3 linked regions of the Arabidopsis thaliana genome follow. The protein of the gene in region 1 interacts with the protein of each later gene in a pairwise test. Each region holds a gene or a part of one and is shown in the gene's direction. Other genes may lie near its edges.

Region 1 (5,504 bases):
GTCTTTTGGTTCATCTTGGTATATTTTACATAACATATTCCAAAAGACACATTTACTTCATGAGTAGCCACATGTACTGAGATCCTTTGCAATTTTATTATTTTTGACATCAATGTAAGTGTTTATACTATTTTTGCAGTTTTAACAGAAATTACAAAGAATAAAGAATATATAAGACTAAAAGTTACAGAAACACAACGCAATACAAACAGAAACAGAACAAAATTACAACGAAAACTTCACAAGCATAGATTCTTTGTAAAATTGTACCTTCTATGTCTATTGTTGTTGTTTTCTATGTAGTTTATTGCTTTTGAAATATAAACTTGTTTTCTATCTAGTTATGTCGAGGAGATCAAGACCATCTTTTTTCCAGTAATCTTATATTGTGCTACTATTTTTTATTTTTCCTTCGACAAAACAAAACGAAGAGCCCCATATTCTCCGACATTCTCGTTTGGACCAATTCTTTCACACTACCATATCCAACCTCAAGACTATCATAAAGATGCTATTACAGACGACTATTTCTGAACATGTGTAAGCAACTAGCTAGTGCTCGGTTCCTTAAGAACCAAGCCAGAACCTGCCATAACTATAATTATAGAAGTCATGCTAATAATACGAAATCGTTTTCCATATTGGTTGTCCAGCTTTCGGGTCATCCAAATCTTTTCTTTCGAAAAGCACTTCCTTATTCTGTGATTTGAGTTGAATGTGAGGATGATAACTCTTTATCCTTTTATTCTCATGCTAAATTACCAACTGATTGTTTTAAAGGTTGAAAAATAACAGATTTTCTTAAAAATCACAGTGCATATATCCAGAACGGCATTTAGATTAATCTTAATCTCGAGAATCTAATGACTTTCATTCTCCATTATTCTACTTTTCATAAATTCATAATTACAATAAAGTTGGTGGACGATATTTTACGTACGGACAAAATTATCCATTGTCAAAACACGTGTAGAGTTGAAGTCAGGCACACGTAGAATTGCACAAGTAACACGACGTCGCGAGGAAGAAGTGCTAAACATACAGTGACTCACAAGCTCTTAATTTCCTTTTTGTTTTGTTTACTTTTTAATGTGAATTAAGTCATACAAGTTGACCACTTCAAATAAACAAACTATTTCTATTGTATATATCTAGACGTATGTGATACATATATAATGTGATTGCCAATCATTACAAGTTTTTACTTAGACCCACACATGCTACGTCACGTTTTAAAACTTTACCTTATGTCCAATCTCTTTTATCGATATTTATTTCATATGTATGTATAAGATATTATATATATATATATAGGACCCTAATGTGTTTATAATATATATCCGTATACGTACGTACAAAAGAAGTACGTATGCTGATTTTGATTGGAAGTTGGGAATGGAAGCATGGATATTATTCGTACTTCCACACATTTTATTAGCACTTTAGATTACCTCATATTACATTTAACCTCACTAAAAGGTAAGAGTTACGAGACTCTTGCTTGCCTAACGTATGCTAAAAGGTATTCATGTATTATGTATTCATGTTTTTGTACATCATGCATTAAACCTATATAAAATTGCATACTTACGTATTTATATAAAGTAGATAGCATATGTATTATACGGATGGAATGATCATTAGTTTTTTTGCGCAATCTTACATCAGAGCCTTGTGGCGTGGATTTGAAGTCTAACCATGCCATGCCATATTTTAATTTATGGAAAACACCAATATATAATTTAATCATCACAACTTATAGTCTAAACAACTACAAAATTAATCATCATACATCATGATTTGGATGTACAACTTCGTGTTTAAACTTTTATTTTATTTTTCTCTTTCAAATAAGGAACTTTGCGTTCTGAAGTGGTGTTTTAAAGATAAGTCATTTATGAAGTCATTTATACGTTAGATATAAATATTTTGAAATTTTATGAAGTGGTGTTTTAAAGATAAGTCATTTATGTTCAGTTTAAAACGCAATGTCTATATATACCAGTATTCTCTAATTACTAATAGAAATGTGAACTTTCATTATTCTTTGTATTAAAACTTCATAGCAAAAAAAAGTAAATAATATTCCCTCCACATCAATTTAAGTGATGTTTTAAGGGTATTTTGTTCTTGATTCATTATAAGTGATGTTTTCAATTTGTTAATATCTTAATTTTTTTGGCTAATTATGTTTTACATCATGTTTTTGTTATTGTCTGAAAACTGAACTTAATGATGTTTTTATGTAAAAGAGATAAATTAAATGAATGTCTTGTGTTTTCTTAATTTATGCGTAAAAACCTTAAACATTAGATACAAAGTGATTAAGAAGTAAATAAAAGGAGTAAATAAGAGTAAACTTAGATGATGATGATGATGATGTGGGTTGAGTTTTATAAGAAATACGAAGACGAGTAAATAAGTTAATAGGCTAAAGAAAAGGATTATTGAATTCTCCTTCTGAACTAAATGTCAAATAATAAGTGTCAGGATTAATAAAAAATAAACTGATCTGAATTAATTAGGATTACAGTCTACAGATTTATTCTATTTATTTCTCCAATTGGTGTTACTTTTGTTTGTGGCATGGCCCTTGTGGTCTTTAACACACACGCACACAAACAACCGCTCTAAAGTTTACAATATACTAGATTTCTACTCGCTCATATCAAAATCTAAAGTCGAAAATCTTTTTGTATAAAATATTTAAAACTGAATAATCAAGAAATGTATCAAACTATTTAAATATTTCCGTGATGCTCAAATTAATATACATATTTTTCGTAACTCGTCAATGAATCATGCATAACTTGTTTACACAATTATACTTAATGGACACTATGATCTGTACACGGGCATATGAGTAACAAAAGAAATTTAAGAGATTACTAGTTAAAATCTGCCGTTAACTTCCGTACGTTCCATGCTTTTGGGTCTCTCTCTACGAGTGAAGTGCCTCAAATAAATAAGAGTTTTATTGAATGGAGTGGAAAATCTAATCTCTAACTAATAATTATAAAACATCTTCTGACGTAAAGAGCCGGGTTATATCAATGATATATATATAGGAGCTCCTGATAATAATCAAAAACATAACATTGCATATATAGAGAAAGATATAGTGAAGGTAGCTATAGAGAAGAAAGTAGTGTAATAAGAATGGGGAAAGGAAGAGCACCATGCTGCGACAAGAACAAAGTGAAGAGAGGGCCATGGAGCCCTCAAGAAGATCTCACTCTCATCACTTTTATTCAAAAACATGGCCATCAAAACTGGAGATCTCTTCCCAAGCTTGCTGGTTAGTATTTATTCACATGCATGTTTCGGTAATACTATAAAGTTTTAAATAACTAAGAGAAATAATGATTGATATATATACATAGGATTGTTGAGATGTGGGAAAAGTTGCCGACTAAGATGGATAAACTATCTGAGACCGGACGTGAAGCGAGGCAACTTTAGCAAAAAGGAGGAAGATGCTATCATTCACTACCATCAAACCCTTGGAAACAAGTTTGTACTCTACCTATTCATCTAATTTCTTTATAATAAGACAATATATAGTATGTAGAGACTAATTGATATATGTGATCATCAGGTGGTCAAAGATCGCGTCCTTCTTGCCGGGAAGAACTGACAACGAGATCAAAAACGTGTGGAACACGCATCTCAAGAAACGACTCACTCCATCTTCTTCTTCTTCATCCCTCTCTAGCACTCATGACCAAAGCACAAAAGCAGATCATGACAAGAACTGTGACGGGGCTCAAGAAGAAATACATTCAGGGTTAAATGAGAGCCAAAACTCAGCTACTTCGTCACATCACCAAGGCGAGTGTATGCACACAAAACCAGAGCTTCATGAGGTTAATGGACTCAACGAGATCCAGTTCCTGCTCGACCATGATGACTTTGATGATATAACCTCTGAGTTTCTTCAGGATAACGATATCTTATTTCCGCTAGACTCTCTTCTTCATAACCACCAAACTCACATTTCAACCCAAGAAATGACTCGAGAGGTAACCAAATCGCAATCATTTGATCATCCTCAACCGGATATCCCATGCGGATTTGAAGACACAAACGAAGAATCCGACTTGAGGAGACAGCTGGTTGAATCAACCACACCTAACAATGAGTACGACGAGTGGTTCAACTTCATTGACAACCAAACTTACTTTGATGATTTTAATTTCGTCGGAGAAGTATGTCTATGAATGTCAATAATATATGCATGACCAGTGTTGTATCCACTTTTGAATGTTGAGTAAATTACTATTTTACATGGATTGCCCATGCATTGAGAAGATGCTATGTTTTATGAGAGCTCTATGATATTGGTTCGTTTTTCGGCTAGATTCACACAAACAACTCTTCTCTTTTCCTTCTCGATCACTCTTATGGCTGCTCTCAGAGTCTCCGTTTTCAGAGGCCAAAACAGGTCGCAGGTTGATGGCTGGCAATGGCAGCATCGACTGCTTCCGGTGTGTCGAGATCAGGCGCCACACCAAGCATCAAGTCCTGAAATCGAATTAGGTGTGTGTAAGTTTCTTAGCCTAGATACAAACAACAAGAAATATGACTCCAACTGTACTCATCATTTCAATCACTTGATATTTGCTTCCTGTAAGGGCTTCAATGTCAAAAGCTTCTGAATTATCCTAAGTCCATACATATTTGAGAGACTGAGACGGTCTCAGTGAGACCAAACAGAAGAAGAAAAGAAAAGAAAAAAACAGAACAAATACTACAAAGAATACACAAACTTTTGATTCTTGCTCCAACCGTTTATTAAAGCACATGACCTGTTTGGGATCATCACATATCACACTAGAATCACAAAAACTACAAATTTCACAGCTCCGAGCACGCAATGATTAACAGAAATCCGACAACTACACCAATCTCTTACAGATTAAAACACAAAGAAGAGAGCTTGTGTAAGTTAAACACGTATGGTAAATACATTAGCAGTAAGAAGATACCTTGGCTTCTGAAAAGTGGAGCAATTGTGGACTTCACATAGAGGGATGGAGGAGACTGTTCTGCTCCTTACAGAACAAAACTAGCGACGACTCTGCACATAATTATCGGCATAATTAAACAAAGTCTGGCTCTTTCGAACCCCAAAGAAGAGTGGCGATAGCAAAGATGGATCCTTTGCCTCTGCAACTTCTTTCGATGGTTTCCTTTCCTCTGCTTCCCGTTTCCCTTTACTCTGTTGACAATTAGGGTCAAGTTTTGATCCGGCCCGGGTGATTTACAGCCCACAAGGTCCAATGGGCTTCTTCGAAAATAAGTTTGCGCGACGTTGCAAATGTCACGTGACTTTTGTTCACGCGCACTTCACGTGTTCTTCGTTATTCTTCGAAACCGTCCGATAAAGAAATTTCTGGAATAACACAACATAACCAATGAAAAGCATACAGGTGGAAGTAACGTAAAAACTCCCGCTTTTTCGACACGTGTCAACTAGGCGGAAGATACGCACCACCAGAAAC
Region 2 (6,822 bases), 6.7 Mb from region 1:
GTCCGCCATTAAAGAAGCATTCCTTACTTGATCCCCTTCATCGCTATGCGGTGATGGTATCTTAAAAAACAAAACAAAAGAACATTCAATGTTTTAAAACAAGAAACAACACACTCCATTAGCAAATTCGATGAATCAGCTTATAGATTTCAAATACCAGAATAGAAGGTTTGCCTAAAGCCATAATCTCTGAGCAAGTCATTGCACCAGCTCTCGAGATAACCAAATCTGCAGCCGCATACGCCACACCTATCGACCTCAAAAACCTTATACCACATAATAAAACACATTTTGAGTTATTAGTCAATACAAAAGCAGCTAAACAGTTAAAAATGTTGTTGTATAACTCACGGAGATAGAAAGAGACGAGGATGACTTCTAACAAGACTATCCATTTCATCAAAAGCTTCAACACCAGTTTGCCAAACAAAGAACCAGTTCTCATGTTCAGACAACAACTGCGAGTAACAGTTAAGCAAAGCTATGTTAATGGCATTGGCTCCTAAAGACCCACCAAGCAAAAGCACAACTTTCGGTTCCGACACAGCTCCAGCCCACTGTCCGAAGAAGCTCACACGCGCCGCTCCTTTCGACGAGTATCGTCTAAGCGTTTGTCTTATCGGGTTCCCGTAGACGACACACTTCGCGGCGACTCGTTTGGGGAGGTTAGTGACTGTACAGTTGAAAGGAGCGAAGATTGTATCGGCGAAGAAAGACAGAATCCAGTTAGTGGTTCCAGGGATTGAATCTTGTTCTTGGATTACGAATTTAGTTCTTGAGATCACGGCGGCGAAACAGACCGGAAAAGAGGCGTGTCCTCCGGTGCCGATGACGATTTGTGGTTTTAGTTCGCGGAGGATTTTGTAGGATTCGAAGGTGGATTGGATCAAGCGGAGAGGGAATTTGAGGAAAGAGGTGAAACAGAGGAATGGTCGGGACGATGATGATCCGACGGTGGAGATTGTTGAGAAATCGAATCCGGCGGATGGAACCGTCGTGCTCTCCATACTGTTTGGGAATCCGATGAAGAGGATTCGAGCAAGTGGGTCGGCTGATTTTAGCTCGTCTCCGATCGCTAAGGCTGAAGAGATGTGTCCGGCGGTGCCTCCGGCGGATATGACAACTCGTAAGCCGGAGGTTTCGTTGGAGACGGAGGAATGGTTAATTTGGCGGTCTACTGATAAACAACAAACGAAGGAGGATGAGGAAAGAGTGAGTCGACTCGGAACGAGTTTGGTAGAAGGGTAAAAGTGTAAATTTGGAGAGAGGAAGGAAGGGATCGCCATTAGAGATGGCGAGAAGAAGCTGAAAGAGTCAAAAAATTTCACTGCGACATTCGTGTAGAAGATTGAAGACGAAGACGATGAGAATGAGTAGGAGATGCAATGTTAAATTATCAGAAGTGTTGTTGAGAAGAAGAAGAAGAAGAATGGTCAGAGACAAGATAGAAGAACCGATGAGATCCTTCCTGATCAATCTTAAGGTTTTTTCTTGTCGGGATAGTCAAAGTTTGTAGCAGAAAGTCAACTTGTTTGTACTTGGCTCTGTTCAGCTTATGTTGCCACGAGTAGGGAGAAATATTGTTATTTTATTTACGTTTGTTAGTTACTCTAAACCACGTATTATTCATATATTAAGCATTTAATAGTTGTATCAGAGAGCTAAGATATTGTATAGTAAAAGAAATATAAATGTAGAAGAAGAGCCAATGAGGGATTTTCAAACAACTTTCAGTTCCGTTTTGGAAAAAAAATAAAATAAAATTGGTTTGTAGTTTGATGTCACTCTCTCTCCAGTGTGAGAAGTTAATAGCCACTGGGTCCATTTCTCTAATTTTTGGTATCCAATTATATTCTTTTTATTGTATTGAAGGCACGTTAAGTGTAGATTAACATACTAAGATTAGTATAATATTTTTTAACAAGTGACTAAATGAGCTGTATTAAACTACTAATAAATCAATACTAGCAGTACATGAAAATCGTAGTGGTGGTCGTGTGGGTAGCTCTTGGCCGTAAATGCAAAACTGGTCCCAATGATGCTGCAACTTTCTAATTCATCAGTTAACTTTTTTTCCTTCTCCTTTATACACTGGTGGTTCAGAAAAATGATACCATTATTTTTAAGTTGGATCGGATGTGGAAAATGACTAGGATAAATGAGTAAAGTTGAACGTAATAATTATTAGAGGGTCCATAAAAAAGGTTTAATTCATATGGTTTATAGTTCAAAGGCTTATCATTGTCTAGAAGCCCATGTAATTAGGTTATCTAAACAAGTAATCTCTTATATTTATAGTGTGAATTAATGTGATTAACTCAGAGAGTTGTCAAAGAGGCTACTCTCCTTTTTTTCCCATTTTATGATTGCATCAAAGTCTTACTAATTTTGGTGACAATCTAAAGTTCTTTTCTTTCCTTGGACAATAAAACTCATTCATGAGCTATCAAATTTTATCTTTATATTTCTCTTAATCTCTTAATGAGCATGAAACTATTCTTGTTTTGAGATTGCTTACAATAATTGGATTAAAACATTCAAAATGAATAGTGTGTTTGTAAAATAAACATAAAAAACATTACAAAAATATAAATGTGTGTCTAATTAAAAGTTTAGAATAGAAATTTATTCAAAATAATTTTAATTATGTTTACCTATGTGCTATCTGCCATATGCATCATGTTTTGATAGAAGTCAAGTGACTTGATGAACAGTTTGCTTGAGTTATAGCATTTAGCACTATGTAGGACAACAATTTGCTATTGAGTGGTATACGTTAGCATTTAGCATTATGCAAATTTTAAACCCAAAAAAGTTAAGAAAATGTGCTTTTTATTTAAAGCCAAATTAAAACCCAAAAGACTTTAATTTATGGGGAAAAGAATAGGTTAATGGCAAAATTGAGTTTTTTTTACTAATCCGGACAGTTAAATACAATAAACTTCATTGGTATTCCTCGTAACTAATTACTCAAAATAAATACTATTATTCTATTTGTTGAGCCAATAAAAATCCGTGTTGAGAAAAAAAAAACGAGAGACAGAAAGAGAGATTGACTCGACAACAGATATAAAGTAACAAAATATTTTTTTACATTAAAGAAAAAAAAAAACAGAAACCGAAGAAAACAACTTGGTTTTTGCAACAACAAAAAAAAAAAAAAAAATTTGGCCTTTGGGGGTTGGGTTATTGCCACAACAATACTTTGGCTTTGGTCCGACTAAATCAAAACTTTGCCTCTCCACAATTCGCAGCCATTTTTTACTCTCTTCTTCCCCTGAGAACGACAGGAGAAAGAATAAAAACCCTAAATTTCTTTAATTTCGGCGCTTCAGATTATCGTTGTTAAAGGTTTTTGATTGATTTTGTTTAAATGGGCGATCTTGCTATGTCCGTAGCAGACATCAGGTGAAGAACATTTGATTCAATTTCATTAATTTCCCTTTCATGCTTGTGAATTTAGGGTTTATATGAATCATTAGTTCAATCTCAATCAGCTGATGAATCAATGAATACTTGGGTTTTCCTCTGTATTGACAACATAAGATAATGATATATATGGATTTTGTTTTGTTTATCAAATCAAAAACTTTAGAAAGCTGTTAATTTTTGAGAGTTTGCTTATTGTGGATAGGATGGAGAATGAGCCTGATGATTTAGCTAGTGATAATGTTGCTGAGATTGATGTGAGTGATGAAGAGATTGATGCTGACGACCTTGAGAGACGGATGTGGAAAGATCGTGTCAGGCTTAAAAGAATCAAAGAGCGACAAAAAGCTGGCTCTCAAGGAGCTCAAACGAAGGAGACACCTAAGAAAATCTCTGATCAAGCTCAGAGGAAGAAAATGTCTAGAGCTCAAGATGGTATCCTTAAGTACATGTTGAAGCTTATGGAAGTCTGCAAAGTTCGCGGGTTTGTCTATGGTATAATACCGGAAAAGGGCAAGCCTGTGAGTGGTTCCTCTGACAATATAAGAGCTTGGTGGAAAGAGAAAGTGAAGTTTGATAAGAACGGTCCTGCTGCTATTGCTAAATACGAAGAGGAGTGTTTAGCGTTTGGGAAATCTGATGGGAATAGGAATTCACAGTTTGTTCTCCAGGATTTGCAAGATGCTACTTTAGGGTCTTTGTTATCTTCTTTGATGCAACATTGTGATCCTCCTCAAAGGAAGTATCCGTTGGAGAAAGGGACGCCTCCGCCTTGGTGGCCAACGGGGAATGAAGAATGGTGGGTGAAACTCGGTCTGCCTAAAAGCCAGAGTCCTCCTTACCGAAAACCTCATGATCTCAAGAAGATGTGGAAGGTTGGAGTTTTAACGGCAGTGATCAATCATATGTTACCTGATATTGCAAAGATTAAGAGGCATGTTCGTCAGTCGAAATGTTTACAGGACAAGATGACAGCTAAAGAGAGTGCGATTTGGTTGGCGGTTTTGAACCAAGAGGAATCTTTGATTCAGCAGCCTAGCAGTGACAATGGAAACTCCAATGTGACTGAGACACATCGTAGGGGTAATAACGCTGACAGGAGGAAACCTGTGGTCAACAGTGACAGTGACTATGATGTTGATGGGACAGAGGAAGCTTCAGGTTCAGTTTCATCTAAAGACAGTAGAAGAAATCAGATTCAAAAAGAACAACCAACAGCCATCTCACATTCAGTAAGAGATCAAGATAAAGCAGAGAAACATCGCAGAAGGAAAAGACCTCGAATTAGATCCGGAACTGTCAATCGACAAGAGGAAGAACAACCTGAAGCTCAACAAAGAAACATCTTACCTGATATGAATCATGTTGATGCCCCTCTGCTAGAATATAACATCAACGGTACTCATCAAGAGGACGATGTTGTCGACCCAAATATTGCCTTAGGACCAGAGGATAATGGTCTGGAACTAGTGGTTCCTGAGTTCAATAACAACTATACTTATCTTCCACTTGTTAATGAACAAACTATGATGCCTGTAGACGAAAGGCCAATGCTTTATGGACCAAACCCTAACCAAGAGCTTCAATTTGGGTCAGGGTACAACTTCTACAATCCCTCTGCAGTGTTTGTACATAACCAGGAAGACGACATTCTCCATACACAGATAGAAATGAATACACAAGCACCACCTCACAACAGTGGGTTCGAGGAGGCCCCAGGAGGAGTACTTCAACCCCTTGGTTTACTCGGAAATGAAGACGGTGTAACAGGGAGTGAGTTGCCTCAGTATCAGAGTGGCATTCTGTCTCCATTGACTGACTTGGACTTTGACTATGGTGGTTTTGGTGATGATTTCTCATGGTTTGGAGCTTAGTGTCTTGCCATTTTTTTTGGGAGATTACATAGTAAGTTTTTTTTTTATTACACAACACCATCTCATATATTTGATCTTAGTTTATAGATTTGATGTATTTTGTTTTACTGTTATTTTTGTAGGTTCAAAAGGACATGGCAATAGTCTGGCTAGTACAGTTACTTTCTCTTCTTCATTTCTTCTGATCTTATATTCTTCCTCTTTTTTTCTTATAATATTTTCTTAGATTTGTTAAGAGAAACAATTTTCCTTTTGAATAAGTTGCCAGAAGAACTGCTTTGCCCGTTGTAATGGTCTCTAGGGAAAGCAGTTAGCGTATCATCATTTGTAAATTTACCTGTGAGTAATTCATCAAGTTAAGAGAATCATTATTTGTTTCTTTTGAACTTCCCAAGTTTTCATTTTTTTTTATATATTTTTGAGCTTGACTTTATTCTTTCCTAAGACTAAAAAGTATATGGGAGTTGACTGGCTGGGAAGGTCAAAGAGGAAGGAGACACGTTGTTAAATAAACTACTACAAGGCTCAAGGCCAGGTGAAACGGTCTTAAAATCTGAAATGCTGGTTTTAGAGTCTGTGGGTAGTGTTCCCAAAATGGCTGAGATCTTTGCAAAGATGGTTTCACATTACACTAGTTCTAACCCGAGAAGAGTGCAAATCAAATAAAGACAGACTAATCATACAGAAAACAAGACTTGATGATGAGAAAACTCAGGGCTTCCATAACTTCATAGTGCAATCTTCACTATAGGTAGCAAGGAGGTTTCTATGCGGGTGGTGTGTTATACCAATCACATCCTTCTCATGCACCTGTCATAAGCATAAACTATTCAGAAACCAGGTCTAATAAAAGACAACTAAGATAAGTATTAAGAGAGAGAGAGAGAGGATGATAATCTGAGCTCTAAAATGGAGAACAGATGAATCAAACATTATAACACACAAGGGACTTCATTACTCTAGTGAGTTACTGTTATGTGTTTGTCTCAAATGCAACTTTCAAATTTCCAACATCCAAAATCTTTTGGAGCATGTCTGTTACGGATATAAACTTACCATCATGAAATGCTCAAGTCCACCAGATTGATAGTTGAAGCAGTACAGTTTCCTGTAGGTGCAAACACCATTACGAACATCAAAGGCAGAAGATGAAACCCGAAAAGAAAGGAACCATAAGATTATCCTTTGAAATCAAACTCGTGGAACTTATCCAAAAATAAAACGATAGATATAGGAGGTTAGAGTGTTACTTGTCTTCGCCGATGCAGTATATCCAATCTCCTTTTGTAGATACACATGCTGCTACAAAATCTCCTCCTTCCCTATTACCGGATGAGAAACTCTTCACAACCTGCAAAAGGATTCCAATATAGAAGCATGTGAACAATCTTAGTTTTGGCATGACAATGACACTGATTTGCAGGAGACCGTTGCTGGAAATTTACCTGTCCTTGGAGTGTCATAATGTATATAGATGATGTCTTGTTGCACACAACAATGTGTTCTGTGTTTTTGGGGA
Region 3 (5,482 bases), on another chromosome or scaffold:
TGACTTAAATTAAAGTAGACATAAAACTAACAAATATCAACTATATTTCGAAGTTAGTGATACTTTTCCCATAAATAGTATACACTGACTTTTTTCGTAAAACATGTTAAATATATACATTCAATCATATATATATTTATCATACTAACAGAAGAAATCTACATTATTGTAAAGGACTGGGAGAAATAATTTTCTAAGAACAAGAGCAACACATATTTCTTTATGATGAAATGAAATCACTCGTAAAGAAACGGGAGTAGCTTTGAAGTCATTTATCACTTGTACGTCAAACAGAAGATTAGAAGGTGAATCACTGCATTTTATGGTTTGGTTTATGATAAAGACGGTTTTTTAATTTTTAAACCGCTATGTTTTTTGTTGGTTGGTTTCGAAGCCAAAAATATATCAGAGTGGTGGTCAAAAACCTCTAATTTTGAAGATATAATAATTGGTTTATGTCAAAAAGAGATATAATAATTGGTCTTGCATGTTGGTATGGTCAACTTTGTGACTAAAAAAAAGAAAGAGCCTAAAACGAGAAAATGGAATGAGTTGGCCAACAAGAGAGGCTACAAAAGAGTCACGAGACATGCAATCATCCGGATTTGAAGCCAGCCCATGTTTTTACTGACAAGCAAACACATTGCAGTAAAGTCGAGTTATCATAATTTATGATAAACATAAAGTAAATTATGAGTAGTATTTTTTTTCTTTCAAAAAGAAGCAAAACTCTCTTACAACTTAATGATTTGTAAAAGGACGAGACATTATCATTAAATCTTGAAACTAAAAAACTATGAGTGCCTTGAAAATCTGAGAATCACTGTTTTTCTTTTGAATTTCATTTCTATGTACATATGGTGAAATCTCAATTCTCCAATTTTCTTTTAGTATTGTTTTTATACTTTCACAAATAGGATTTAATTTACTTAGAATTGACTCTATTTTTTTCTTGTTTTTACTATCTATGTTCGCTTTCCAGAATTTTATACGTTATTCAAAGAAAATACTTGACCAAATACATGTAATAACATATTGGTTATCTAGAAACAAAAGACGAGTACAAGATACAAAAAAAAAAAACAAAGGGGACAAAGAATGGTGTGGAGAAAAAAGTTTGAAGAAGAAAGAAAAAAAAGTGAGGAAATTGTGATGATAATGGTAGGGGTGGTGGGGAACATATCTCTTCTTTATCAGTTTCCCTTTTTTTTTTTCTCTCTCAAAAATCATGTTTGGAGTTTCTTTTGGTTCAAGCTAAATCTTTTTCTCTTCTTCTTTCTAATAGTATCTATTTGTTTCTTCAAACCAAACGATATCTACGCAATACATGTCGGTTATTGTGATAACGACATTGTTTGGATGTTTCGGGTTCAAAAGATTTGTATGAATGTGTATACTATATATGTTTTTGGCTCAATGATAAAGACACTTGATAAGAGATTCAGGATCGTTTCAAATTATTTTAAAAAACTATATATAATATGAAAAACACTTTAATACTTAAGAATACTATTTGTAATCCGTAAAACTTTAAGTTCTAAAACCATTAATTAAAAATAAGAAACAAGTTACGTTGTACATATAAACTAAAAGACGGAATGGAATATGATTTGATTGTAAAAATAACTTTGGACAAAATCTTCCAATTATAAAAGAGAGAACAAAGAGTTCTAATCATATTGATTGGTAGGTCATGAAGAAGCTTAAGGAGTGATTGTAGAAGAGTGGAAGTGGAGGCGACAAAGTGAGGAGACACGTGGAAAAAGGCACGTGACGTGGGGAACGTGAAATGTTGTCGATAGTGTTTACTGTCTCGTGCTTGCAAAACTATATGTATGTTTTGGAGTGTGAGAATTGTGACGTATCCTCAGTCCTTAGTCCATAGGCGAAGCATCTCTCATTAGCTCCTCTCTTTAAGGTTACGCATTCATTACTCATGCTTCCCTTCTCTCATTTTCTTTCTTTTTCTATATTCCCCTCTATTTGTTTCTTCGCTTCTAATTTATTACATGTAACGTACAAAACCAAGAAGCATGCACTTTTTTCTGGTGACCAAAGTTTAATATATCAACCGAATTGACTATACCACATACATGTTTCTATCTAAATCCAATGAATATTACACAAATAGAATCTTGGTGTGCCAACCAAAGAGAAGCATTTATTAAAGTCACTATTTTGAATACTAACGACGGATAAGACTAAGATCACCAATATGATGTGTTTTGGTCTCTGCCATGAAAAGATACAGAAATTCTGATTAAGATTTGTGGGAGATTAGCACCACTTGATTCACTTTGATTGCTACACATAAAAGGTTGGTAAATTGGTTTAGTATTGGAAAAATATAGTAGTGGTTGGACTTGACTATAGATGCTTCATGATAAGATAAATTAAAAGGAACAATCAAATTAGTAGAGGAGTGTAATTACTAACAGCGACGTGGATTAAAATCATGGAAAGCTCAAACTCTTGTCATGCTTAGATACAATGGAGTCCACGTAGACTATTTTCAATATTTTTTGTCATAATTAAAGAACATTATTAGAGAGTTAATGACGTACATGAGACGTGTTTAGCAGTTGATATTCAATTTAAAAAACATTTTGACATACTTTAATGCTAAAACAAAAACATTTTTTTTGCTTAAAGTGTCTCGCGGTTATAAAAAAAACCTTAATTATGGAAGTGTTGTTTGTCGAACCCACGAATGCATCAATGCGCGTCACGATAGTCTCATGCATTGAACTTGATTTTACTAAGACGGATAATGAAGTAAACTATGTATTGTACATTGGTCTACATTTATTTAAGAAAACATGTTCTTATCCGGTTTAGAACTATCTTGTCTACGTTCATATGATTCCTTAAATCTAAGCCTAAACTTTTTAAACTAAATCAGTCACAGTTTCTTATTCATTTATAGTGTTTTAACAAAATAATTCAGTTAATTCTAAAATCCAACCCTAATTATTTTATAAGAAATCAAACAATCTTTTTTCTTTTTTTTTTTGTTAAACGAAAGGTAGTACTAGGAGTCGAGTATATTTACATTGAAACAAACAAAATTTAATTAGAACACACCCAGCAAAAAAATCCGAGCACAAAGTCAAAACCAACACTTTGACCAAGTGTCTGCATGACACGTGTATTTGTCTGCTACATGGACAACATCTTTAACAACACTGTCTCATCATTCCACCATTTTCTTTAATTAAAAAAAAAACATATCAGAAAGACCATTCCAATATTATTACTTCTTCCTTTTAAGCTCTAACAATTAAATAAAAATTTCCATTCTCTATATATAATACACACACGTTCAAATCATTAATCACCTGTTTTAGATAAAATCATAGAGAGAGAGAAATAGTAAAAGAAATAAAAAAAAATGGGAAGAGGGAGAAGCTCATCGTCTTCATCGATAGAGAGCAGCTGCAAAAGCAACCCATTTGGTGTGTCTTCGAGTAATACTCGGAACCTAAGCACGGACCTGAGACTCGGGCTCAGCTTCGGATCATCTTCCGGACAATATTACAACGGTGGAGATAACCATGAATATGATGGAGTCGGTGCGGCAGAGGAAATGATGATCATGGAAGAAGAAGAGCAAAACGAGTGTAATAGTGTCGGAAGCTTCTACGTGAAAGTGAACATGGAAGGAGTTCCTATTGGGAGAAAGATCGATCTTTTATCTCTTAATGGATATCATGATTTGATCACAACTCTCGACTACATGTTCAATGCTTCAATCCTTTGTAAGTATCTACACACACTTAATTACATCTTTGCATGTAGACTTAGTTAATATTTATATTTGTTATACCTCTCTTTGCATGTATATAGTTAAGACCAAAACTAATGGCAATAAAAAAATTGTGAAAATAGGGGCTGAAGAAGAAGATATGTGTAGTGAGAAGAGTCACGTGCTAACGTACGCAGACAAAGAAGGTGACTGGATGATGGTTGGAGATGTTCCTTGGGAGTAAGTTCTTTTTTAATTTTAGTGTATTAAAAATCTCTAGTTAAGTATTTTTTTTGACATAATTATGTAAAAATTCCCTTTAATTAATGGGGACTTAATTGATTATGTAGGATGTTCTTGTCTAGCGTGAGAAGACTAAAGATCTCAAGAGCTTATCACTACTGATTTTCTAAAAGCAAACTTGGAAGAATCTAGGATTGACCAATACAGTCAGTGGTGGTGGGGGAAAAAGTTAGTTTTGTCTGAATGTAAATCACTTGTTCGAGATTTTATTCAAATTTTGTTTCTAGTTTTATTACATTTATAAAAAAATCGGTTGTAACTTGTAATGAAGCTATTTTTTTCAAGAAAAAAAGCTGTAGCTAATGCAGATCCTTTTTGGTTTAGTAGTTATTTTTATGGTTTTAGACATAGATTAGATAATACTAGAAATATGAATTGTTTTGGAACACTGCTGAATTAGGTTCATATTCGTATTCTAGTTTTCACAAAGTTTCAGTTGAGTTACTAGTTTAACCAAATCAAGATCTATTTCATATTTTCATACTATCATTTACTTCTCAATTCAACTATTTTACCGGAATAAACAGTGAAATATAGTTGTTCTAGTTATGGAATCTGAAATTGAAAAATAATTGTCAAAAAATTTCAACAGACTCTGTCGGAGATATTACAATTGTTCCGCTCACCAAAAGCATTAAAGCCCATACAAGGAAAACAAAAACAAAAACTCTTAAGCCACTCTGATTATTTTCCTCACTGCACACAAATTTACACGAAAACAACAAAAGATGAAAGAAAGCATCATTTTTCAAAATCGAAGAGGTTTCTTCAGAATCAAGCAAACTGTGTTTCCCCTTTGATGTTCAAAACTTCACAGTAACTTACCAAGAAAGTAACCATGGTGATCTACTTAAACCACTTGATATCTCCATATTATTTTCCGATAACCCGAAACAATCAGATCCATGTTCCGGGAATATACTCTCTTTCAAAGAATCACAAGTAATTTCCGGCGAAACCCACTGTGAATAACCTCTCACATTCGAGCATTCCCATGGTGATTTCTTCGAATTCTTCTTCACTCTAAGAGTAACATTAAGGAAACATATATTCTTAAACACATCTCCTTCTATACCTTCAAGAAGACCCGCAACACCTATTCCATCGCCATTTACATTCTCAAAGGTGATTTTCTCTATAGCTGGGAGTGCTTTGGGATCGTATTTCTCATCAGGATGTTCACCGTACTTACCGGTGAACCTAATCGCTTTCTTTACATTATCGAGCTTCACGTTCAAGATGTGAACGTTTCTAACATACCCGCCTCTTCCAGCAGAAGTCTTGATTCTGATTCCAGTATTCGAATTGAACAAATGTAAGTCTTTAATGTATATTTCGGATACACCTCCCGACATTTCACTTCCTATTGCTATTCCTGAGCTTGAAGTAGTTTGACCTGTTAACCGATTAATCTTGATCTTGGAGCTCGGTCTT

The links.
Region 2: the proteins of MYB72 (region 1) and EIL3 interact in a two-hybrid assay, tested with the Arabidopsis thaliana proteins (one study listed by BioGRID).
Region 3: the proteins of MYB72 (region 1) and IAA30 interact in binary tests that used the Arabidopsis thaliana proteins (3 or more experiments, as listed by UniProt).

What each region holds. Positions count from the first base shown.
Region 1 is NC_003070.9:21,019,225-21,024,728, forward strand, and holds MYB72 (myb domain protein 72), read left to right. Parts: upstream 1-3,159; coding exon 3,160-3,298; intron 3,299-3,383; coding exon 3,384-3,513; intron 3,514-3,534; exon of another isoform or gene 3,535-3,598; coding exon 3,599-4,220; 3' UTR 4,221-4,363; downstream 4,364-5,504. UniProt on the Arabidopsis thaliana protein: Involved in metal ions homeostasis, including iron ions (Fe) acquisition, via the regulation of NAS4 and NAS2 genes expression. Necessary for plant survival in alkaline soil where iron availability is greatly restricted.
Region 2 is NC_003070.9:27,728,915-27,735,736, reverse strand, and holds EIL3 (ETHYLENE-INSENSITIVE3-like 3), read left to right. Parts: upstream 1-3,053; 5' UTR 3,054-3,373; coding exon 3,374-3,408; intron 3,409-3,463; exon of another isoform or gene 3,464-3,634; coding exon 3,635-5,303; 3' UTR 5,304-5,334; intron 5,335-5,425; 3' UTR 5,426-5,706; downstream 5,707-6,822. Other genes in the region: AT1G73740 (UDP-Glycosyltransferase superfamily protein), read right to left, coding at 1-60, 158-266, 352-1,286; SMU1 (transducin family protein / WD-40 repeat family protein), read right to left, coding at 6,015-6,113, 6,360-6,411, 6,554-6,654, 6,749-6,822. UniProt on the Arabidopsis thaliana protein: Probable transcription factor that may be involved in the ethylene response pathway.
Region 3 is NC_003074.8:22,992,444-22,997,925, forward strand, and holds IAA30 (indole-3-acetic acid inducible 30), read left to right. Parts: upstream 1-3,242; 5' UTR 3,243-3,391; coding exon 3,392-3,758; intron 3,759-3,888; coding exon 3,889-3,985; coding exon of another isoform or gene 3,986-3,989; exon of another isoform or gene 3,990-4,095; coding exon 4,096-4,150; 3' UTR 4,151-4,366; downstream 4,367-5,482. Other genes in the region: AT3G62110 (Pectin lyase-like superfamily protein), read right to left, coding at 4,870-5,482. UniProt on the Arabidopsis thaliana protein: Aux/IAA proteins are short-lived transcriptional factors that function as repressors of early auxin response genes at low auxin concentrations.